Callithrix jacchus: one gene and its partners. The protein of the gene in region 7 interacts with the protein of the main gene of each other region in a pairwise test. Links are inferred from orthologs where the notes say so. Each region holds a gene or a part of one and is shown on either strand. Other genes may lie near its edges. The genes, in order: EPSTI1, UBXN8, RNF115, LZIC, SLC43A3, LNX1 and VCP.

The links.
Region 1: the proteins of VCP (region 7) and EPSTI1 interact in binary tests that used the Homo sapiens proteins (3 or more experiments, as listed by UniProt). The link is inferred for Callithrix jacchus from reciprocal best matches to the Homo sapiens genes VCP and EPSTI1.
Region 2: the proteins of VCP (region 7) and UBXN8 interact in binary tests that used the Homo sapiens proteins (3 or more experiments, as listed by UniProt). The link is inferred for Callithrix jacchus from reciprocal best matches to the Homo sapiens genes VCP and UBXN8.
Region 3: the proteins of VCP (region 7) and RNF115 interact in binary tests that used the Homo sapiens proteins (3 or more experiments, as listed by UniProt). The link is inferred for Callithrix jacchus from reciprocal best matches to the Homo sapiens genes VCP and RNF115.
Region 4: the proteins of VCP (region 7) and LZIC interact in binary tests that used the Homo sapiens proteins (3 or more experiments, as listed by UniProt). The link is inferred for Callithrix jacchus from reciprocal best matches to the Homo sapiens genes VCP and LZIC.
Region 5: the proteins of VCP (region 7) and SLC43A3 interact in binary tests that used the Homo sapiens proteins (3 or more experiments, as listed by UniProt). The link is inferred for Callithrix jacchus from reciprocal best matches to the Homo sapiens genes VCP and SLC43A3.
Region 6: the proteins of VCP (region 7) and LNX1 interact in binary tests that used the Homo sapiens proteins (3 or more experiments, as listed by UniProt). The link is inferred for Callithrix jacchus from reciprocal best matches to the Homo sapiens genes VCP and LNX1.

What each region holds. Positions count from the first base shown.
Region 1 is NC_133506.1:162,102,008-162,105,976, reverse strand, and holds the start of EPSTI1 (epithelial-stromal interaction protein 1), read left to right. Parts: upstream 1-1,169; 5' UTR 1,170-1,248; coding exon 1,249-1,454; intron 1,455-3,969. UniProt on the Homo sapiens protein: Plays a role in M1 macrophage polarization and is required for the proper regulation of gene expression during M1 versus M2 macrophage differentiation.
Region 2 is NC_133514.1:31,904,008-31,908,096, forward strand, and holds the start of UBXN8 (UBX domain-containing protein 8), read left to right. Parts: upstream 1-1,289; 5' UTR 1,290-1,322; coding exon of another isoform or gene 1,323-1,410; 5' UTR 1,411-1,462; coding exon 1,463-1,592; intron 1,593-4,089. UniProt on the Homo sapiens protein: Involved in endoplasmic reticulum-associated degradation (ERAD) for misfolded lumenal proteins, possibly by tethering VCP to the endoplasmic reticulum membrane. May play a role in reproduction.
Region 3 is NC_133519.1:8,177,533-8,180,430, reverse strand, and holds part of RNF115 (E3 ubiquitin-protein ligase RNF115), read left to right. Parts: intron 1-90; coding exon 91-222; 3' UTR 223-2,898. UniProt on the Homo sapiens protein: E3 ubiquitin-protein ligase that catalyzes the 'Lys-48'- and/or 'Lys-63'-linked polyubiquitination of various substrates and thereby plays a role in a number of signaling pathways including autophagy, innate immunity, cell proliferation and cell death.
Region 4 is NC_133508.1:47,804,845-47,808,517, reverse strand, and holds the end of LZIC (protein LZIC), read left to right. Parts: coding exon 1-68; intron 69-1,153; coding exon 1,154-1,235; intron 1,236-1,968; coding exon 1,969-2,027; 3' UTR 2,028-3,173; downstream 3,174-3,673.
Region 5 is NC_133511.1:114,978,404-114,980,901, reverse strand, and holds the end of SLC43A3 (equilibrative nucleobase transporter 1), read left to right. Parts: intron 1-1,053; coding exon 1,054-1,158; coding exon of another isoform or gene 1,159-1,307; 3' UTR 1,308-1,998; downstream 1,999-2,498. UniProt on the Homo sapiens protein: Sodium-independent purine-selective nucleobase transporter which mediates the equilibrative transport of extracellular purine nucleobases such as adenine, guanine and hypoxanthine.
Region 6 is NC_133504.1:143,185,764-143,189,263, reverse strand, and holds part of LNX1 (E3 ubiquitin-protein ligase LNX), read right to left. Parts: intron 1,276-3,500; coding exon 1,034-1,275; intron 520-1,033; coding exon 367-519; intron 1-366.
Region 7 is NC_133502.1:141,946,447-141,949,946, reverse strand, and holds part of VCP (transitional endoplasmic reticulum ATPase), read left to right. Parts: intron 1-1,219; coding exon 1,220-1,331; intron 1,332-1,415; exon of another isoform or gene 1,416-1,517; coding exon 1,518-1,690; intron 1,691-2,752; coding exon 2,753-2,895; intron 2,896-3,500. UniProt on the Homo sapiens protein: Necessary for the fragmentation of Golgi stacks during mitosis and for their reassembly after mitosis. Involved in the formation of the transitional endoplasmic reticulum (tER).

The DNA of each region.
Region 1 (3,969 bases), on a different chromosome or scaffold from region 7:
ATTTGTTTACCTGTCTCCTAGAATACTCCCAGAATGCAGGTAATGTGAGGGAAGAGCCTTCACTCATCTTTGTGTAGGACAGCATTGTGACACTGGCGAGAATACTGGCACACCTCAGAATCATCTCAGAGCTCTTCAAAAATATGAATGCCATAGTTCACCCACGGACCTACAGAAACTGAGTCTTGCAAGTCCATATATATATATAAATATATATGTATTTTTAGATGGAGATTCGCTCTTGTTGCCCAGGCTGGAGTGCAGTGGCGCAATCTCAGCTCACCACATCCTCCGCTTCCTGGATTCAAGGGATTCTCCTGCTTCAGCCTCCCAAGTAGCTGGGATTACAGGCCTGCGTCACCATGCCTGGCTAACTTTGTATTTTCAGTAGAGACGAGGTTTCTTCATGTTAGTCAGGCTGGTCTCAAACTCCCGACCTCAGGTGATCCACCTCTTTTGGCCTAGGAAAGTGCTGGGATTACCGGCGTGAGCCACCGTGCCTGGCCACAAATCCATATTTTTAAACAGCCCCACATCACCATCGCACACTGCTCTGCACAGAGCAGGTATTTAATAGCTCTCCAATGTCTAGTGAATTACTTAGCAAGGCTGCCTGGAGAATCATGTCTACCTTACTTCATCTTCGCCGGTTTTTGGTTTTTGTTTTCTTTTGATTTCAGTTTCCATTTCCTGTAACTTGAAAGTATCTGCGTTGGTAACAGCCACACAGCAGTCATTCCTGATAAGAGGCAACATTTTGTTGAGATGATTTTAGCTACTAACCTAATCTCTGGTCTTTTAAGGTTACTATTTTTTTTATAGCCTCAAATATCCAGCGGTAACCTTAAATTAGAGTTACCTGTTAACAGTTTCTCAATTATGTTTCAGGATTGCAGTCACTTTACGGGCCAGTCGCTCAACAGGTGTCCGTGGCTGGTCACAGTTATTCTGATTAACCTCTAAGGTGGACTGTGAGACTTTAAACGGTCTCACCTGTAGCGACCCAAGCCGGCTCCAGTCAACATCCCCCCGCCGTTAACTGGGGATGAGGCCGGAGGGCGCCTCCGTGGAGAAAGGATGGGGAAGTTCTCTGGGGCGGCGCAGTCTGCAGCTGACACCGGGAAACCGAAACTCAGCCGTTAAAAGCGCTGCCCTTGCACTTTGGAATCGCATCTCGAGACTCGCGGGGCGCCCCAGCCGCTCCCCTCCAGCAGCGGCCGGCGGCGCGGGACCCGCGGGCTGTGAGCCATGTACACCCGCAGCCGAGTGGCGAGCTCCGGGCTCGGCGCCTCCCCTGCCTCCCGCCCGGCCCGGGACCCCCGGGACCCCCGGGACCCCCAGGACCCTTATGGGCGGCACGGGGAGCTGGGCCCGCTGCAAGACCAGAGACACGGTTTGGAGGCCGCCCCCGAGAGCCCTTCGCGGGAGAGCATCGTGCAAGCGGCTCGGAGGCAGTAAGTGTTTTAACAACCTGTTTTGGGGGCGGGAGCCCGGGCCCCAAACGTACTCACAAGCACCTTCATGGTCCTTGGAGTTTGAAACCACAGGGATTTTGACTGAATGAAAAACTCATTTGCTTTAATGAAAGCACTCATGCCTTTCCTTATAAACTGAGTCGGCTAGTTTGCAGCCCTTCGGTAAATACTCAGGCGGGTTCCTTCCAGGAACATCACTCTCCTGACTTTGGTGACTGACGACAGAGTTGAAAGACGCGGTGTTTAGAAACCCCCTAGGCATCCAGTACGATGTCATTTTCCAGGTATCTCCAGAACTCATACTCCAACCAGTATGGAAATGGGTTTTCCCTTACTGTTTTTAAAAACGTGATGCCTGGTAGGGCGCGTTGGCTCAAGCCTGTAATCCCAGCACCTTGGGAGGTCAGGGCCGGCGGATCACCTAAGGTCAGGAGTTCGAAACCAGCCTGGCCAATATAGTGAAACCCCGTCTTTACTAAAAATAAAAAATGAGCTGCATGTGGTAGCACGCACCTGTGGTCCCAGCTACCTCGGAGGCTAAGGTAGGAGAATAGTTTGAACCTAGGAGGCGGAGGTTGCAGTGAGCCGAGATCACACCATTGCACTCCAGCTTGGGCAACAGAGTGAGACTCTGTCTCAAAACAAAACAAAATAACAAAATTTGGTGCCCTAATTGGAATTACTATATCAGACACCAGCAGGTAAGGGTCAACAGGAAACGTGACATGGTGTAGAAAATTCAGATTCTGCCTCTAGCTCGGAGCAAGCCTGAATCCCAGCAAGACTCCCAGATAAACTAGCCTCTTAGAACCAGAGGAGTGGAGCTGAGACAGTGAGGAGGTGAGTGACGGTAGTATCTCTTGTCCCTTTGATGTGTGCTCCATGCAGGAACTCATAGGTAGCATTTATTCCTGGCTTTTGCTTCAGCGACTGCAGTGAATATCCAGGAAACATTTATTAAGCAAGTGTCACGGGCCTCTCTTTCCCCCCAATGGAATGAACTTCTTTAAGTCAACAGTATGGCTTATCACAACGTCACTGCCTTTAAAGTGCTGCCTCTGTGAACTGGAACTGTCCAAATGGTTTTATTTTCAGTGTCTCCTTTTCCATCGACTTCTAATCGTATGAAAGCCAAGCCCTGGTTGCTAAGGAACCGTATGTATCCTTATGACTGATGAACAGCAGATTTTCTTTCATTCCTTTTGGAAGCACCAGGCCTTTAATATTATTATTCAGCTTAGGTTCACCCTTACATGGGGCAGAGAAGCTGGAAATCAATTAGAGATGGTCGCATTTCTCTCCTTCTCAGAGTAATTGGTGTCTCACCACAAGAGAAGCAGGCCTTTACTTTGAAATATACAAGCTATAGTACTTAACAGTAACAAAGGTCATAGACATGTGGTCTCATCTCCATGAGTAGTTAATGACGAATACCATTTGCATGACTTTTTAAAAAGCATTTGTTTAGGTCTTTTTTTTTTTTGAGACGGAGTTTCGCTCTTGTTACCCAGGCTGGAGTGCAATGGCACGATCTCGGCTCACCGCAACCTCTGCCTCCTGGGTTCAGGCAATTCTCCTGCCTCAGCCTCCTGAGTAGCTGGGACTACAGGCATGTGCCACATGTCCAGCTAATTTTTTGTATCTTTAGTAGAGACGGGGTTTCCCCGTGTTGACCAGGATGGTCTTGATCCCTTGACCTCGTGATCCACCCGCCTTGGCCTCCCAAAGTGCTGGGATTACAGGCGTGAGCCACCACGCCCGGCCAGCATTTGTTTAGATCTAACCATTTATTTGGAAGCTCGTATCATCACATAAGCATTAACAGTTGCATCTATCTGTTTTCTTATGTGGTCGTAATTACCCTGGAATCTTACTAGACCAAATTGGTCAGAAAGAGAGTTTTCTGATTGGTTACCCAGGTCTTAAAACCCTGCAATTCCTAAAAAGATTTTCAAATAACCCATTAAAAAATACCAGGAAGAGTTTAGTTCTCTCTCACAGAGTCCCCCTTTTTGTGTGTGTGAAGCGGTTGCAGTCAGTACAGAATTATATATCCCCTTTCAGGGCTTTGATGTCTGAGATCCTGTTTGATGATCTCCTTTAGTTACTTAGATTCACTTTCTCATTTGTTTCCTTTAATGGAGTTGAAAAACCGAGGAAAGGCCGGGCGCGGTGGCTCACGCCTGTAATCCCAGCACTTTGGGAGGCCGAGGCGGGTGGATCACGAGGTCAAAAGATCGAGACCATCCTGGTCAACATGGTGAAACCCCATCTGTACTAAAAAAAGAAATACAAAAAATTAGCTGGGCATGGTGGCGCGTGCCTGTAATCCCAGCTACTCTGGAGGCTGAGGCAGGAGAATTGGCTGAACCCAGGAGGCGGAGGTTGCGGTGAGCCGAGATCGCGCCATTGCACTCCAGCCTGGGTAACAAGAGCGAAACTCCATCTCAAAACAAACAAACAAACAAAAAAACCCTAGTAAAATAAGTGGCAA
Region 2 (4,089 bases), on a different chromosome or scaffold from region 7:
GAGACCATCCTGGTCAATAAGGTGAAACCCCGTCTCTACTAAAAATACAAAAATTAGCTGGGCATGGTGGTGCGCGCCTGTAGTCCCAGGTACTCGGGAGGCTGAGGCAGGAGAATTGCTTGAACCCAGGAGGCGGAGGTTGCAGTGAGCCGAGATCGCGCCACTGCACTCCAGCCTGGGTAACAAGAGCGAAACTCCGTCTCAAAAAATAAAAGTCAGATGAACTAAACTGAAGAGGTGGGAGAACAGATGGACAGGTCAGGAAAAAGAATTTTTTTTCTCCCAAAGTGCTGGAATTACAGGCGTCAGCCACCACACCCGGCCAGGAGATAATTTTCTTTTCTTTTCTTTTTGAGATGGAGTCTTGTTCTGTCGTCCAGGCTAGAGTGCAGCTGCACAAAATTGTCTCACTGCAACCTCTGACTACCGAGCTCAAGTAATTCTCCTGCTTCAGCCTCTTGAGTTAGCTGGGATTACAGGCGCCCGCCACCAAGGCCAGCTAATTTTTGTATTTTTAGTACAGACGGGTTTCACCAAGTTGGACAGACTGGTCTCAAACTCTGACCTCTTGAACTGCCTGCCTCGGCCTCCAAAAGTGCTGAGATTACAGGTGTGAGCCACCGTGCCTGGCCAGGAAAGATAACTTCCAAGTATGAAATGTTGTAGGTTGGGAGACCTCAGTGGCTTGGGAGAAGTGCACAGTGGTGAGTTATAGGATGGCAATGAGGTCACAGAATTATGAGGTCACAGTTAACAACGCGTGCTGGCAAAACTGATAAGGGGCGGAGCAAGGGGTAGGACCTGGCGCTAGGACATTCGTGTTGGGGGTAGGTGGTTGGAGCCAGGCCCCGCTTTTGAGTTGTCTTAACGCAGGAACCAAAGACTGTGGACAGGGCCAGGAACCGTTAGGGAGATAAGAAAGGTGCTACAGCTCACATTCACAGTCTACGGCCACAAGGCCACGGGAACAGGCTGTCTCCTCACAGCATCAGCTTTCCCTTCGGCTTCATTTCCCTCTGGAGAGCGCTTACTCACCGACGCTACGGAAACCGAAGGGGCAGCCTCTGCCCTGCTACCCTCCAAGGAGCCACCACCCTAGAGCCCACGCTCTTCTGGACATCATGTCATCTGGGGGACGACTTGCCTTTCTTCTGAAACACGGCTACAGACTGAATTAAAAATACAGGCCCCATCAATAACAACGCAGCCGTAGGATTCCGCTCTCTCTCAGCCTCCCCGCCGCAGGAGAAGATGCACTTCCTCCCTGACAAAAGCGGCCGGAAGGGGTGGGCTTTCCACCTGGACCAGGCGCTTCCGCCACCATGGCTTTACGGGAGGTTGTTGGCATTTTCTTTCTCTCTGCTGTCCCCCTTGTGTGTCTGGAGCTCCGGCGTGGGATCCCGGATATAGGCAAGTGTTGGCTTTTTCCCTTCGACAGTCACAGCTGGTAATTTTCACAGGAATGTTGCATAGAATGACCAACTCTCCGGCTGCGTCGCTTCGGAGCAGCTTTGACTACAACTCCCCGACTGCATCGCCCGTGCCTCCTACTTCCGGTGCTGACTCCACTTCGCAGAACCTTTTCCCTACAGGTGTGATGGTTTTGCGTGTGACAGGACAGAGGCGAAGAGCATAATGGCAGTCATAACAGTATTTTCACATCCTCGTTAACACTCAAAAGGGAATAAACAGACTGATAGGATGAAGGCCTTCTAAGAATTTATTAGGCTGAGAGGTTTTTGTTTTGTTTTTAAATTAGAGACAGGATCTCACTATGTTGCCAAGGCTGGCCCCGAACTCCTTGATTCAAGAGATCCTCCTGCCTCAGTCTCTCAAAGTGCTGGGGTTACAGGCCTGCGCCACTCCACCAGGCTTTGAGATGTAAATAAGGGGCCACACCCGTGAAAATCCCGTGGGGGCAGGGAAGGGATGGGGGAGGGGAGTATTCTAGGCAAAAAGTTTGTGAGATGTTGGAGGAAAAGGAGAAGAAGGCCATTATGGCTGAATCGAGGAGAGTTGGGGAGAGGAAGAGGAATTGGCTCAGGATAATGACGTTTATTGAACACCTATTGTAAACCAAGCAGTAGGTACTGGTTATTCAATATGTCATTTAATCTACACTACAATCAGAAGAAGGTAGATCCCCCTTCCCCCCACCCCCCACCCCCAACGGAGTCTCCCTCTCTTACCCAGGTAGGAGTGCAGTGGTGAGATCTTGGCTCACTGCAATCTCTGTCTTCCAGGTTCAAGCAATTCTCTGCCTCAGACTCTCGAGTAACTGGGATTACAGACGCCAGCCACCACACCTGGTTAATTTTTGTATTTTTAGTAGAGACGGGGTTTCACAATCTTGGCCAGGCTGATCTTGAACTCCTGACCTCCTGATCCACCCATCTTGGCCTCCCAAAGTGCTGGGATTACAAGCCAGAGGTATTGCTCCTGGCTGGGTAGGCACTATTATAACCCCCATTTTACAGTTGAGGGAACTGAAATTTAGGGAGGTTAAGTGACTTCCCTAAGGTTTTAAAAAGGTAGCTCCATTCTGTATGGAGAATGCTTTGGATGGAAGCTATGGTGGAAGCAGTGAGGTACATCAGGCTTTGCAAGTAGACAAGTAGTGATGGCTTGGAGTAGGACAGTAACAGGAGTTAAAATGTAGACAGATTTGGGATATTGATGAAATAGGATCAACCAACAGGCTTTGTTGATGGGTTGATGTTTGTGGCAAGGGAAAGGAAGGATTCAAGGATGACTGCCTCATGGGGGAATTGAACAAACCTAGGTGGTTGGTAGTGCTACTGGTAAAGGGAAAAGGGAAAGAAAACTGGTGGAGGTGCTGAGAATCATGAGTTGATTTTTGGACATTTGAGTGATCAGTTTACATGTCTGTCTCCCTTTTTAAAATCAGTTCTAAAGTTAGAGACCATAATGAAACTGAGCTTTGTATACTCCCTTTCTCCACCTTTTCTCCCTACCCCCAAGGAGTAAGATGTCTAGAAATGTTGCCTGCAATAAAAAATGGGGAAAAAATGCTTTAAAAAATGTACAAAGACTTTCCTGAAGCTTCCCACTCACTCAAGCTGTGTTAAAATATAACAAGACCTTTATCCAAAGGATCAGAAATGTTGAATTCACACTTACCATTTCCCAAATTGACCTGTTCCCTTGTCTTTTCAACATCCACTCCTACTCTGCTCCTTTATTTTATTATTACTATTTTTTGAGACGAGGTCTTGCTCAGTCACCCAGGCTGCAGTGGCCTGGTCATGGCTTACTGAAGCCTGGACTTCCCGGCTCAAGTTATCCTCCCACCTCAGCCTTCTGAGTAGCTAGGACTACAAGCACCACATCACCATGCCTAGCTAATTTTTTTGTATTTTTTGCGGAGATGGGGTTTTGCCATGTTGCCCAGGCTAGTATGAAACTCCTAGGCTCAAGCAATTCCCTCACCTCGGCCTCCCAAAGTACTGGGATTACAGGCATGCGCCACCATGCCCAGTCAGAAATATGCTTCTTGAAGGCAGAGGCCAAATGAAATCTGTATTTGTATTCCCAGAACTTACCACAGTGTCTAGTTTAATAGAACTAGGGACAAGGGTTCTGGAAATTGCAACCAGGCTCCTGGCAGCATCTTTATCTAGTTCTTGAAATTTTCATGGAATTAGCTTCTTTCTCATAGAATTCTGAAGGAATGATTGTTTCATTTGGATTGTTTTCTTTTTTTTTTTTTTTTTTGGCTTTCTTTATACACACACACATATACATATTTTGCTGCTTTTGGATTCTTGATAGTGAGCTTCCAATAATTACTTGTTAACAGTATTTAAATCAGTTTTACAAATCATACTTTATAGCGGCAGCAGGGCTGGTTATGCCTCTAATATTCAGACATATATTGGAAAACTAGCCTTGTCTTTTTCTACTGTGTAAAAACCTTTATTGTCAATACATTTTGCTTATACTTAAGCTAAATTTTTTTTTTTTGGACACAGAGTCTGTCACTCTATCACACAGGCTGGAGTGCAGTGGTACAATCTCAGCTCACTGCAACTTCCACTTCCTGGTTTCAAGCAGGTCTCCTGCCTCAGC
Region 3 (2,898 bases), on a different chromosome or scaffold from region 7:
ATGTGACAGTTCTCAGGGTTACTTAAGTGTGCAGTACTCCCAGCTTCTCAGGCCAGGATCTTCACATAGACTAATACTTTTCTGTTTCAGCATGACACATGTCCTGTATGTAGGAAGAGCTTAAATGGTGAGGACTCTACTCAGCAAAGCCAGAGCTCTGAGGCCTCTGCAAGCAACAGATTTAGCAATGACAGTCAGCTACATGACCGATGGACTTTCTGAAGCTAAAGACCACACCTGAATCAGGGCTATGGTAATCATCTGACCATAGCTGTAAATTGTATCAAAACAAAAAATTAGTAGATGGATATAGGAATCACATAAGAAACCCAACGCATAATATTAATGCAATGAATGTTTTTCTTCTCTAAATTTAAAGTTAGTATCTACAGATGGAATTGTATCTACAACCAAATGCCTCTTATTCGTGAATTCAGAGTGATAATTTTATAAGTGTGAAACTGAATTATGTAGTACTCCCCCCACCTGAATGGAATCAATCCCTTAGTCTGGTTAGGGTCCTGCTATCTGCCATGTCGCCTTTGTAACAGAGGTTTCCACCTCCTTCTCCACCCTCTACCCCACCATTAGGGTATTTTACTGTAAAAACAGTGGAACCACAGCCCTAAAGTCCTGCTGATATAAGTCCTTTTGTCTTAATTATATTTAAAAAAATCTACTCTTGATCACATTAGCTGTGAGGTGAGGCCAAATTAATTCAGGAATCTAAGACTAATGATTTTGTTTTGTCTTGATTCCTGGAGCACAAATCAAAGAATTACGGTGAGAAGGGAAAAGGGCTTTACCATCATGTGCTTAGTTTTCTTACTTTCATTTTTAAAGACTACTTCTGTTGATGCAGTTTCCCCAGAAAGCTACATAATGTATTTTGGGAGCCTTATGTTGGTAGGAATCTGATTCCATTTCCTTTTTGGGAAAGAGTTGGGCAGCATACATTGCTTTGAAGAGTGTAAAAAATGATCCCCAACTCACTGATTTTGTTTGTTTCTTTCTGTTGCCTAGGCTGGAGTACAGTGGCACGATCTCAGCTTACCACAGCCTCGACCTCCCAGGCTCAAGTGATCCTCCCACCCCAGCCTCCCGAGTAGCTGGGGCTACAGGCGTGTGCCACTATGCCTGGGTAATATCTGTGTTTTTATAGAGACAGGGTTTTGCCATGTTGCCCAGGCTGGTCTCAAACTCCTGGGCTCAAGCGATCCTCCTGCCTCAACATCTCAAAGTGCTCAACTCATTGTTTACTGTCTTTTTTCCTAGTAATCTTAAAATAATTTGTGTCACAGAAATAGATGCAGTAAGCATCTTCAGCCAGTTCACTGTTTTTAGTAACTCATTGGTCTTCAGGAGTTCAGATTTTACGTTGTCACATTTTAACTCTTTAAGCCTATTTTTCATCTTTTCCGCTTGGTTCTGGCTATACTGACCAACGTGATCATGTCCAAATCAGCTTGGCCTGGGAGAGGTAGGCCTTATATTTTCAGCCTAGTAGCACCCCATGCCCATGCTCTTTGTAGTATTTAAGTGTTTAACGTTGAATAAATGAAGAAGGTAAGGAATGTTGTGTAAACTTCAAAATCTCAAAAGGGGAGACATGTAACAGCTGTTGGTGTGCCTGAAGAAGGTATAGAGGGGCACCATTAATGTTGTCACATTAGCCTTTGACAGTTTACTATGATCAGAACAAGAGCACCACTCTCTAATGGGTTTCTTTCTTGGCTAGAAGTCTTTCCCAGTTTCTGTTGACTATCATATGCTGATTTGTGGGTGATGGAAGGGGGCTAGAGATACCTTTTCCTGTACTTTGGTAGCGGATAAAGGAGTCAGGGAGGGCAAAGAAAAAGTTGGGGAGTGGCCTGCTGCAATAATAGCCTGCTTCTAAAAGTTGTGACCAGAAAGTATGATTCAGCTGGGCTCAGAGGGAATAAAAGATGTTTTCTCATATACCTCCCATATTACACCTCTGTAGTGATTGTTTATTTGGGGAATGAGATCTACTTACTGTGGGTAGCCCCTGAAATATAGCTTGAGAATACACATTGGTTTTGAACTGGGGAGGGAGACTTAAGGAAATGAGGTGAATTATGAATATTTGGCCGTGACTTAGATGGAGGAAGGCTGTGTTGAAGTTGGAACACATTAGAGTTTTCAAGAACACAATGTCAGTTGTCTCATTAGAGTTTTCAAGAACACAATGTCAGTTGTCTCAGAAAAATTATCACAGCCTGAACGCTTTTGTTTGTCTGTCAGCGTCTGGAAATGCCAGGACAGGCAGTAGTTTTACTTTCTGCTAGAGAACTAATGCCTAGAGAACTAGAAAGGATCTGAGTTCTTTACAAAGATCTGAAAGCTTTACAAGTGGTAGAGACAAAGTGCTGGATAGGGATCTGCCTTTTTATACACAGTATAGCACATAGCATCAGACTAAGTTACCTGAAATTTTCTTCACTGTTTTTGCTCTGATGGATAGAGGACGTGAGACTCATTTTGCTGTTTCCCAGACCTGTCCCTCTTAACAAATCTGTTGTGTTTCTTCTCATAATGGGAGGTACCTCAGATGTCCAGGTTAATTTACGTTGAGGAGTTAGGGTTCTTTGTGGATTTATTATTATTATTATTATTATTATTATTGAGACAGAGTCTCTCACTCTGTCACCTACACTGGTGGGCAGTGGCATGATCTCAGCTCACTGCAACATCTGCGTCCTGGGTTCCAGTGATTCTTCTGCCTCGGCCTCCCAAGCAGCCAAGATTACAGGTATCTGCCACGATGCCCAGCTAATGTTTTATATTTTTAGTAGGGATGGGGTTTTGCCATGTTGGCCAGGCTGGTCTTAAACTCCTGACCTCAGGTGATCTGCCTGCCTTGGCCTCCCGAAGTGC
Region 4 (3,673 bases), on a different chromosome or scaffold from region 7:
TGGAAAGAGACCTGTACACTCAACAGAAAGTGGAGATACTAACAGCTCTCAGGAAACTTGGAGAAAAGGTACCAGTATTTAATATATTAGATACAAAGAAAAAGTATGAATTTTTCATACAGAACATTTTGATCTGTGGTCTAGTTTGTGGTCCTAAGACACTTTTTTTTTTTTTTTTTTGAGACAGAGTTTCACTCTTGTTGCCCAGGCTAGAGTGCAGTGGTGTGATCTCAGCTCACTGCAACCTCCACCTCCCGGGTTTAGGTGATTCTCCTGCCTCAGCCTCCCAAGTAGTTGGAATTACAGGTGCCCACCACCATGCCTGGCTAATTTTTGTATTTTTAGTAGAGACAGGGTTTTGCCTTGTTGTCCAGGCTAGTCTTGAACTCCTGACCTCAGGTGATCCACCCACCTCAGCTTCCCAAAGTGCTGGGATTACAGGCATGAGCCACCATGCCTGGCCCCTTCTCTTTTTTTTTTTTTTGAGACAAAGTTTTGCTTTTGTTCCCTAGACTGGAGTCCAATGGTGAGATCTCAGCTCACTGCAACCTCTACCTCCCGGGTTCAAGTGATTCTTCTGTCTCAGCCTCCTGAGTAGCTTGGATTATAGGCACACATCACCATGCCCAGTTTATTTTTGTATTTTTAGTAGAGATGGGGTTTCATCATGGCCATGCTGGCCAGGCTGATCTCAAACTCCTGACCTCAGGTGATCCACCTGCCTCAGTCTTCCAAAATGCAGGGATTACAGGTGTGAGCCACTGTGCCCAGCCTCCTAAGACATTCTTTTTTTTTTGAGACGGAGTTTCGCTCTTGTTACCCAGGCTGGAGTGCAATGGCACGATCTTGGCTCAACCTCCGCCTCCTGGGTTCAGGCAATTCTCCTGCCTCAGCCTTCTGCATAGCTGTGATTACAGGCACGTGCCACCATGCCCAGCTAATTTTTTGTATTTTTAGTAGAGACGGGGTTTCACCATGTTGACCAGGATGGTCTCGATCTCTTCACCTTGTGATCCACCTGCCTCAGCCTCCCAAAGTGCTGGGATTACAGACTTGAGCCACCGCACCCGGCCTCCTAAGACATTCTTAACTGGTTTCTAGAACCTCCTGTAACATTTACTCACTCAACTAGACTTTGTTTCATTTTGTTTAGCTGACTGCAGATGATGAGGCCTTCTTGTCGGCAAATGCAGGTGCTATACTCAGCCAGTTTGAGAAAGTCTCTACAGACCTTGGTGAGTGCCCTCATATTTCTGAAAGCTGGTCATATGCTATTGCTCCAAACTGATGGAGAGTGTGGTCGAAATAATGTAATAACCTTTTCTTGAGCTTAAGAGTGAAACCAGAATTGTTTTGTTTATAAATCCGTTGTATTGGTTTTATTTCCCAATATAAAAAATAAATTAATGCAGTCTAATGTTTTTAAAATACTTGTCACATAGATGTAAATATAACAATAAACTAAAATTAAATGCTTGAGTCCAGGAGTTCTAGACCAGCCTAGGCAACATGTGAGACACTTTGTCGACAAAATTAAAAAGAAAAAAATTAGCCAGGTGTAGTGGCATGCACCTATAGTTCTAGCTACTCGAGAGGTTGAGTCAGTAGAGTCACTTGAGCCCAGGCATCTGAGGCTGCAGTGAGCCAAGATCACGCCATTGCTCCACCCTGGGTAACAGAGCAAGACCTATCTCCACCACAAAAAATTTTTAAAATAAAATTTTACATATTCTATTTCATAGCTAGAGCTGGAGTAAGGATTTATAACTAATACATTTCCCTTTATAGCTGGGTTGTTTGTGCAGAGGAAAGGAAATGGGGATGGCAATGGGAGCGTGTAGGCGTTAATATACTGGTAATGGAGGCTAATTATATTTTTGGTTTATATGATAGATTTTTTTCCCACTTTACTAGGAATTGTACTGCACTTGAATAATCTTTTTGTTTATTATGTGTCTTTCTTCTTAGGCTCTGGAGACAAAGTCCTTGCTCTGGCAAGTTTTGAGGTTGAAAAAACAAAAAAATGACCTGGTGCAGAAGCTTGTAACATTGATCACATTCTTATTGTAAATGGTGTCTTTCCTCTGGGGGTTTTCAGTTATGCAAAGAAATGAAGAGATTCTGGAAATGCATCAATAACCTAAGAAAAAGTGACATAAAAGTATACTTATGGCTTGTGTTTATGCTCTTCATCATTATGCATTGTGTGGGGTTACCTGCTTGAGTGATCCTGAACTTGCTGTGACAGGGACTCACTGAACTCTGCTCCTTGTGATTTGTCTAAAAGAGAAAACAAAGTGGACTTGGCTTTTATTAAGGCTGTTTAAGTGTTGATAGTGAATGAAAAGATGTGTAGTAATGATATTTTTCTGCTTGTAACTTATCCCCACTCATTGGAGTGAACAGTGAAGCAAGCTCAGTAGACTTCATATGTGTTCATAGAATTTTAGAGTTCCAAGGGATCTTAGAAATCATTTCTGTTTTTACAAACAAGGAAACAGGTCCAGAAAGAGCAAGTGACTTGCTTAAAGTTACATTAGAGAACTGACAGGTAAAACTCAGGTGTCCTGGCTCCCAGTTTAGTATCTTGAATTTTATTTCTGTACCATTTTATAAAAAATAACACTATTTGTGCAAGTCAGTGTTTGTGAAAATTCAGTGTCCCATTGAAAAGTTGACTGCACATGAAGGGACCATCCCCCAGCCTGTAAGCTGTCTGTATGAATGGGGCCCCTTGTATCTCAGAATTTTGAGGTTGAAACAATGGGAGCCCTGTTGAGCGTCTCCTAAAGTGACTTACCAGCCTGGTTGTTTCACCAGGGAAGCAATAGGAAATGGCAGCTAGAGGCCCTCCCTGTGTGTGACCTCTTGTCACACTCAGAGGGTGGTAACTGTCAGCTGTTATCTACTCTTCAGTTTTTGGAGAAACACAAAATAAGAGGAAAAGCAAATTTCCTGAGTATTTACATGTCTCTGCTTGCTCAAATATGTGGATATGTCCATATGCGTGTATATTAGCTTATTTCTTAAGCTCTGGCCATTTTATATCCTTTCATGTGCTTCTCTTTTTTTTTTTTTTCCTTCTTTATTTTAATTAAGTATTCTGGGGATCATGTGCTTCTCAATATTTTTGTTTTGTACTTTATACAAATTAAAAGCATTTTTAAAGCTTATTCTATACTGTAAACTATTAGGTGCTTTGCCAACCAGACAGATTAGAGGACCTCAGCTCCACTGATGCCTTATTTGGAACTTTTAGTGGGTTTTTTTTTTTTTTTAGATGGAGTTTTGCTCTTTTTGCCCAGGCCCGACTGCAATGGTGTGATTTCGTCTGACCACCACTCCACCTCCAGAGTCCAAGCGATTCTCCTGCCTCAGCCTCCCGAGTAGCTGGGATTACAGGCATGTGCCACCATGCCTGGCTAATTTTGTAATTTTAGTAGAAACAGGGTTTCTCCATATTGGTCAGGCTCATCTCGAACTCCCGATCTCAGGTGATCCACCCGCCTTGGGCTCCCAAAGTGCTGGAATTACAGGCATGAGCCACCTCACCCGGCAGGTTATTTTTTACATATTGATTTATGACTGTCAAAAACTCAGGCTGGGTGTGGTGGCTCATATCTGTAATCCCAGCACTTTGGGAAGCCGAGGCAGGTGGATCACCTGAAGTCAG
Region 5 (2,498 bases), on a different chromosome or scaffold from region 7:
TCAAAAGTGTTTCCTGCTTATGGTGAGTGCAGGCGCACCCTAGCCTCTCCCCTAGGTCCATGCTGAGTTTCCACAATTGGCCCCAGGGACAGGAGCTCTGTGCTTTCACCTCTGTGTCCTTACACCTGGAGGGATGCTCTGGGGCCCTGCCCTAGGAGGTGGGCATGACTCCCCTGTTCTTTGCAGAAACTGAGGCCCACAGAGGTTACATGACTTATGTGTTCAGAGGCACCAGCAAGGGAGCCAAAGTCTTTCAACATTGAATTCGGTGTCTTGACCACTGCACAGCTCTATTTGCCTCATTTTTTAAAGCAGCAAGTTGTCGAATAAGAGTTTAAAATTCATCACTTGGAGAAAAGAAAGACTAAATGTTTTTTGTTTTTGTTTTGGAAGACAGGGTCTTTCTTCATCACCCAGGCTGGAGTGCAGTGCCACAGTCTCGCTCACTGCAGCCTCAGTCTCCTGGGCTCAAGTGATCCTTTCATCTTAGCTTCCTGGGTAGCTGACACTACAGGCATGTGCCACCACTCCCAGCTAATTATTATTATTATTATTACTATTTTTTGATAGACACTGGGGTTTTGCTATGTTGCCCAGGCTGGCTTTGAATTCCTGGCCTCCAGTGATCGCCTCTGCCTTCCAAAGTGCTGTGATTACAGCCGTGAGCCACCGTGTATGGCCAAAAGACTAAACTTGAAGTCTGAGGCGAATGACTTGATTGTGACATCAGGTGACCTAAAAATCAGATCTGTATTCTAGCTGGTGCCTCTACCAGCTTCCCATGTGACTTTGAGCATGCCACTGAATGCTCACTAGGCCTCGTTTCTTCACCTGTGAAATGGGCTTATTATCTCCCACCCCACCCCATAGTTCAGAATAGAAAGTAACTGCTTCCTCCAGGGCACCATAGTGTTTGAGTGAAAAGTAGACTATAAACTCAGTAGAATTCTGGTCCCTTCATTGGCCTTGGAATGGACCGGTGCTTGCTTCATTGAGCAACAGTTCTGTTGTTCAGAATTCCTGGATTTCACCTCACTCCTGTTCTCCCTGCAGGTAAACGTGATGCTCCTGCTTGCCATTCTTCTGACATTCGTCCACCCCTTTCTGGTATACCGGGAATGCCGCGCTCGGAAAGAAAGTCCCTCTGCAATTGCATAGTTCAGAAGCCCTGGCTTTTCAGCCCTGAGGATGGTTTTGCTTATCTTTCTCCACCTTTGAGGACTATGTGCCCCGAAAGACTTTGCCTATCCTGGCAAAAAAAAAAAAAAGAAACAAAGACATATTTAACTGCTAACAACGACTTCTGAGCCGCACTCAGTTGCCAAGCAGATTGAGATCACACAGACACAAAGCAAAGGCATGTGGAACTTCTCCTTTATTTAAAAACCAAAGTGTCTCTTTGCGCTTAGCCTTGGCAGACCCTTGATTCCAGGGGAGGTGACAGTGGGGAGGAAGTGTGTCACCTACTTCTTCAGGCCTGTTTGGCTCTAAAGCCTAGGTGTGCCCAGATCCTCTGCCACTGGTTAAATTTTCAGGTGAAGAGTGAGGTTGTCACGGCCTCAGCTATACTTCCTAGCTCTCCCTCCTAGCTCTCCCTCCAGAGCACTGCCTTGGTTAGAGAACTCACAGTGAGCTCTGGGAAAAAGAGGAGCAGGCAGGGTTCCCTGGGCTCAGTCTCAGCCCAGCCACTGATGCTGGATGACCTTGGCCTGACCCTGGTCTGGTCTGAGAATCACTTTCCCATCTGTAGGATGAGATGAGTTTTGGAGTTGAAAGTTCTTCCTGGAGCAGATGTCCTAGAAGGTTTTAGGGACAGTGACAGAGTCAGGCCGTCCCAAGGGTCATGGGAGCCAGCTGACCTGCTCGACCAAAGGATTTCTGACAAACCATCTTTGGGGATGTTTTCCTCTTCAAGAAGGAATATACTTTGGGCATTTAAAAGAAAATTTCTCTGGGGAATAATTTTGTAGAAAAATAAAGCTTCAGTGTCTAAGGCAACTACTGTTTCCATCTCTCTAGGCTTTGGGGCTGAGCTGTGTGTGTGTATGTGTATGTTCCTGAGGAGGCCCTACTCTGGCATGAGGGGAGGGCGGAGAATCTGGCTACACATCCTAGTGTGGCAACTAGACCCAAAAGTAGGGCAGGGACCCCAACTAGGATTCACCCCACTGGTCCTGGAACATGGGGCCAGAGACTTCCTCCCCCGGGAACCTCTCTGCTTCCTCTTCCTCTCCACACCCTTAACCTTAAGCAGAACCCCTGCTGCCCACTTCACACTCCCAGCTAGAAGCACTGGATGGAATCAGAGTCTTAGTTTGAGTCTCAGCTCTGCCCCTCAGCAGCTGGGCAAGTCCCTTAACCACTGTGAGTCACAATTTCCCCACCTGCAAAGAACAGTTAATGATTTCTATCCCTGACGGTGATTGTGAGAGTGTAAAGTCATTGCAACTACTTAACACGTGGTGGGAGCACATGAGGTTTTGCTCCTGTGATTACTC
Region 6 (3,500 bases), on a different chromosome or scaffold from region 7:
CCTCAGCGCCACACCTCACATGTGGTTGAAAGAGTAAGAAGAGCAAATATATATTGCATTTATCACATGCCAGTCATTGTTTTAAATGCTTTTCACTCATTAACTATAATTATTCTTCTTCATATGCATAACACTAGCACCTGAAGGTAAGGGTTTCAATACTTTTTTCTTCCATCTATGTAAAAAGACAATAATTTCTGCCTTAGGCTGCTTATGTGAGAAGTGGGCTAATCAAAGTAAAAAATATTGTATACTCTTGGGAAGAGAGGGGTCACAGAAGGTGGGTGGTGATCAGATGGCATCATCCCTGAAGTCACCCTGGAAGCCCAGCCCGTATCCTTCCAGCCTTGTAGGGAGTTCATTTACCTTCAGGAGCAGTGGTGTTTTCAGAATGTTCCCTGCCCTGGTCAGCGTGATTGGCAACTGTACTCCCGCTCTTTGTCCTTCGAAGAACACTCAAGGCTCGATTTATTTTTTTAAAAGATCTGCTTCTAATAGAGGATCTTTCAAAAGGCCGTGCTGAGGAAAAGAGAGGAACAGTAGTTACGATTTAGTAGAAATCATCATTTACTTACATATCTGATAAGATATATACAATAAAACATTAACAGTGACTACCTCTAGGTGGTGGGACTGTAGAATTTGCTTACCTGTATTTTCTAAGTTTTCTACAGTGAAATATGTAGGACTTGTTTAAAATCCTGCTTTTCTTTTTTGTTTTCTGGGCTGAACTGAACACAATAGCACTTTTCTTGAGCAGAGTGGCTGAGAAATTACTGACACTGCAGGAGTGATGAATCATTAGGTCTCGTTTCAGCCCCTTTCACCAAGTCAGATTACACACAGTTGTAATGATCGGAGGTACTTGTGGTTCATTTCACTTTGGAGAATTGGACATTGGCTTCCTGCCAAAACTACCAGAATAATTTCCCCTTAAAAAAAAACATTTCTAGAACTTTCCACAGTAAGTATTCCACAGAGGGCAATCCCAAGCCAAGGAGCCCATTCCTGGACAACCACCCATTTGACTCACCCCTAGTTCGGTTGCTCCGGCCAGAGTCCACTGGGCTGATCGCTGGCTGACTGTCCTCCGCCGTGGACACGTAGGCAGGGTTGTCTAGGCCAGGCTCGTCTGTCATTAAGGGGATGGTGGCAGCTGAAGAAACCTCTGGGAAGGGAGCCGTGGCTGTGAGGCTCGCACAGCCGTCTGGACAGCCATCTTGTGAGCGCCTCTTCCTGTCTTTGGTCAGGCCGTAGTGGGAGGCACCTTTACAGCTGTAACAAAACCAGTGGGGAGGTGAGGAAGAGCTTTGGCTCTCCTGCCACACCTCAGTCAGACCTCTTCAAATACAATCAATGCGTAAAACGGGCTTGTTGGACTTGGAATCTGATTTGCCTGCCCCTGTATCCTCTCTTCCCTTTTCACAGGTTGGTACTCAACACACATTTGCCAACCAAGTGAATTCACAATTTGAGATTTTTTTTAAAGATGCCCACTGTATTCTCTTAAAGCATTCTCTGCATTAGCTGCTGGAATGCAAATATATTCAAGTCGCCATGGCATCTACATGACCAGCGCTTGAGGTTGGCGATGTTCAACTGTTCGGTAATTCCTGCTTGCTGGTGTTTATTTTGACCCTGAAAGCCCTTAGTCACACTCTCACTCCTTTCTTTTGGATTTTGTTCCCACAGCACAACATAAATATGAAGCTCCTCCCAGATTCCATATTTAACTGTCCATGGAAACACGACCACCCTCGCCACAAAGCCACAGGAGTGAGTTTGTTCAGCACTGCTATCCTCTGGCGGCAGCTCGGTGGCTTCCCTTCTCTTTCTCTAGGCTGGTCTGGGAGGGCCTCTCTGGTGCTAGGGGCTCCCGTGACCTGAAAAGTGTCATTCATTGCTATGCTGTCTAGCATTAAGAGAGTAAAACAGCTTTTGTGGTTTTTAGCAAAAGCATATTTGTCTCTACCCATTCACTGTCCATGTTATAAAAAAAAAACCAAAAACTGTGAGAAAGGCAACTTAATGGTACAATAGAGAGAAGCTGAAAAAGAACAATTCTTGAGGCTCAGGAGACAAGGTTTGAGCTGATCTAGGTCCATATTTTGCCTTGAACATGAACACTGCCACTGGGCAAGTCATTTCAGTGCACAGGCTAGGTTTGGGTCAGGAAATAGTGATTTAGCTATCTCACTGCACTGTGGTGGGGGTAGCTACAGGTAGTCACTCCAGTTCCCAAAGTTGTGAAGGCAAAAATCATACCATGAGCCCCTTTAAGAAGTGTCCATTTGCATATGATGAATGTGTTAATTATAAATTCTTATCAATTCATTAGGCAAAACCCCGTATGATTGAGCTATATTAAATAACCCTTTGATATCCTACTTGAGAGATGCTTCATGTTTTTCAAAATAGTTGAAATCAAAGGTCAATCTACAGTGATTTGCTCACATGATTTGTACTGCCCATAAAACCACAGAAATGGCAGAATGGAAGGTCCTATTGTCTAGATCCAAATCCTTGCTCTGAGATTTACGTAGCTGGGTGATCTGGGGAGATTTTATTTACCTGGTTAACCTTCCCAATTTGCATATACTTTCTGGATTGCTGTGAAGTTTGATCGACATTAAGTCTTATCAGGAATGTAGTGCTTTTTGCCAAAAGTACTAGAATGCAAATTCATTAAAGTCATCATGACTACATGACTACAATCAGATCTGATGAGACTGTAGCTATTTTTTAGACATGTTAAAGCATGAAAAGAACATCTTAGTCTAAGTCCCTTTTAGACCATTTCATCTTCATCTGCAGATGCTCTTTTCAGGCTTTAACATGTCTGAGATCAGGATGCATGTGTGATTGATGGGCCTGTGTGGTTTCTGTTGCCAGGCAGCAGTCATGGTGCAGATGCCACCATCCCAGCATGGCAAACCCAGTTTATATGTACCTCTTGTCACTTCCACTGAGTCAGCTACATGCTTGGTATTACACTAATGAGTTTAACTGCCATTTGAATGTTTTAGAAAAGATTATATCATGATTCAGTACTAGAATCAAAAATTATAGAAAGCCTCAAAACCAGAGCAATTGGATATCGATGAAGCACATATTCCTTGTTAGAAGCAGAATCACAATTCCTATTTTCTTGCAAAGGGACAAGTAAATGTTTTATTTTGGAAAGATCTTTAGAAAGATACCCCTAAGAGAATCAAAGTGGTGTTACATTTTGTTATTGAGAACACTCAAAGAATTGCCTATTTCATGCCAAGCAACACAACCGAGGGCAGAAGCTGCCGCCAAATTCATTTGAATGGATTTCAAAGCCACAAGAGTCTGGTGTGACCAATCTATGCCTCATGGGGATATCTCTGGTGTTTGGGGATTATTTAACTGATGGGACATTTTTAAATGTCCTCTTCTTTGCTGGCATATAAAACATGCTATCTCTTATCATGAATGGCATCTTAGATTAGATTAAATGTAGTTTTAATATTAGC
Region 7 (3,500 bases):
GCAGGAGAATCACCTGAATTTGGGAGGCAGAGGTTGCAGTGAGCCATGCCTTTGTACTCCAGCCTCCATCTCAAAAAAAAAAAAAAGAGAACACTGAGTCCAGTGATGGCTGGAGATGGGCTAGGTAATAAGTTGGTATCACTGCTTGTTGAATGATCCTAGCTTCTAGGAAATAACAAACTGAGTGTAGACCCAGTTGACCTTGGTTTGGGTGAGAGGGATTTGGATTTGCCCCATGTCTCAGCATTTCTTTGTTTTGATTTTTTGAGCCAACTCTATGGAATTGTGCTTTTGCAGAAATTACTGTGCAATTTCTTTTGACCTTGAGCCTCTTTCTGGTGGGTTCATGTCTGTTAGTGTTTTTTCCAAATATGATGGTCTTTATGCTTGGCATTCCTTTGGTACCATGGAATCATCTCAGGGGAAGTTGTCTGGCTTACTTCATTCCCCTGGAAAGTTAGTTTATGCTTTATACTGTGGTGTTTTTTTTTGGAAGGCAGGGTTTCACCATGTTGGTCAGGCTGGTCTTGAACTCCCTACCTCAGGTGATCCGCCCACCTTGGCCTCCAAAGTGCTCGGATTACGGGTGTGATCTACCACGCCCAGCCCACTTTATACTGTTAATCATGGTGACCATTAATACCATGTGCCAGGTATTATGTTAAGCATTTTACATTCATTATCTCCATTAAGACAATAAACCTCTGAGATAAGTATTATACTCCCTATTTTATAGGGGAGGACATCAAAGTTTAGAGGTTAGGTAACTTGCCCAAGATCACAAGCGGGAGCAGAATTGGAATTTAGACCCAATGGGTCTGACTATAGAGTTCCTGCTCTTAACCACTCTTCTGTAAGTCTAAGACTGCTTTTATTTCTCTAATAACTATTTAGCCTCCATTTCTATTATGTCTTATTCTTAGGCTGTTTTCTGATCCTGGGGCAGGATTACTCACTTGGGGCCTTATAGCTGGACACTGATGCTCAAAATACCAGGAGCTGATGGAATGGATATTCTAATGTGTGTGGAATGGATATTCTAATGGATATATCTAATGCTAGATATTCTTCTTGTGACCTTGGCTGCCTTTCCTTCATCTGAGCTCTCTGGTTTAGGGACAGCTTCATCTAGTCACTATTTCTTTCTTGAGTTTTAGAGACTGGTGAGGCTCTTGGGGCTGGAGTATCTATTGGGACTGACTCAGTTTTCTCCTTCTAGTTCAAAAGGTGATGACTTATCAACAGCCATTCTCAAACAGAAGAACCGTCCCAATAGGTTAATTGTTGATGAAGCCATCAATGAGGACAACAGTGTGGTGTCCTTGTCCCAGGTAAGCTGAGGCCACAGACTAGTCTTTCCTTATTGGACTTACTTGAGGGATTTTCCCAGGTTTCTTTTCTCATTTTTCTTGCAGTGACTGCAGATAGAGTGGGGTTTACTGGGACTCCCAATCTCCAGGGCTGCTGCTTACTCCCTTCTGCCCAGTGACCAAAAGGCCTTAACCTTCTTTCCTCAGCCCAAGATGGATGAATTGCAGTTGTTCCGAGGTGACACAGTGTTGCTGAAAGGAAAGAAGAGACGAGAAGCTGTTTGCATCGTCCTTTCTGATGACACGTGTTCTGATGAGAAGATTCGAATGAATAGAGTTGTTCGGAATAACCTTCGTGTACGCCTAGGGGATGTCATCAGGTGTGTGTGTGGTTTTTGGCTCTGCAGGGATGGGAGGCCAGAGATAGCCTGCATTCTAGGCAGGACCCATGTATTACACAGGCAGGACCAAGTTCTTGGCACCTGTAGATATAGGAAGCCTCCTGGCCATGGGAAGACTTACACTTCAGGGTTGTCTTTAGATTTTGGTTCTGCCTTCCTGGGATTCGCAGATTTTCTCTGAATGTCCCTTGAGACAAATTGGCATTCCTATAACTTTCCTGATGCCCTATTTTTTCCTACCAGAGATGTAATTTATCATACTTAAAGCTTGGTTTAGGATGCCACTTGAGGGTATGTATCTGCTAAATGACCTCCTCACTACTCTCACTAGTATGTCCAATTAATGGCTTCGGATTGGAATGAGGTTGCGGTATGGGCATGGAAGGTGAGCTGGTAGCAGACCTTTTAAGCACCTAAATTAACTAGGGAGAAAGGGATAGTTGAAGTCAGACCCAGGATAGCTCCATTGAGAGTGATTTTGCTTATTCTTGCATAATTTTAGGCAAGAAGTTACCCCAACTTGGAGTCATCTCTTGCCACTCCTATCCAGCCAACCATCACCTGGCCAGGATCATCTTAGGCTTCTGATACTTTTTAATGGAGTCTGAGTTTCATGTAACTTTCTTCCTGATGGTGCTTAGTCACTTTCTCAAGGTGTTCTGACCACCTGGCAGAGATAATTTTATTTTTTTCACTTCTGTTTCTCTGACCCTGACAATTACTAGCTTAAGATCTTCTTTTGTAATATTGGGTCATCAATATTAGCTAAGGGGATTATCCTAGCATATCTCACTGAAGACTCAGCATATCTTTGTGGGGTTTCTAAATGTGTAGCTCTTGATTTTGGCTCACTGATTAGGAGTGAGTGGGGCTGTTCTTTTGCTCTCACTTCCACCCTGTTCTCCTTCCGCTCTTCACCTAAAGCCATCCCTGCCTTTTCTTTTTTACTTACTATCAGCTATCTCTGCCAGGCCCTTTTGGACACCCAGTGCTTGGGCCCGAAGTGTGGTTGGTAATATGGAGTCTGCTTGTCATCCTCAGCATCCAGCCATGCCCTGATGTGAAGTATGGCAAACGTATCCATGTGCTGCCTATTGATGACACGGTGGAAGGCATTACTGGTAATCTCTTTGAGGTATACCTTAAGCCGTACTTCCTGGAAGCTTATCGACCCATCCGGAAAGGTGAGAGCTAATTCTGAGCTTAAGGATTGTTGATTGTTGAGTTTTTGCACACTAGGTCATGGAATGATTTAGAGAAACTCAGCTTGGAATGTCTTCATCTCATTTTCTTTTTCTTCTTTTTTTGATCTTTTATGCTTTTCCCTTGTATTTATTTATTTATTTTTTAAGAGATGGGGTCAGCCCAGTGCCGTGGCTCACGCCTACAATCCCAGCACTTTGGGAGACTGAGGCAGGTGAATCACCTGAGGCCAGGAGTTCAAGACCAGCCTGGCCAACATGGCAAAACCCCATTGTGGGTGCCTGTAATCCCAGGTATCTGGGAGGCTGAGGCACGAGAATTGCTTGAACCCAGGAAGTGGAGGTTGCAGTGAGCAAAGATCAGGCCACTGCACTCCAGCCTGGGTGACAGAATGAGACTCTGTCTCAAAAAAAGAAAGAAAGAAAGAGATGGGGTCTCACTATGATGCCCAGGCTGGTCTCAAACTGCTGGGCTCAAGTGATCCACCTGCCTTGGCCTCCCAAAGTGCTGTGATTATAGGCATGAACCATCATACCTAGTCTCACTTTTATATATTTGTATACACACATGCATCCTGCATACAGAT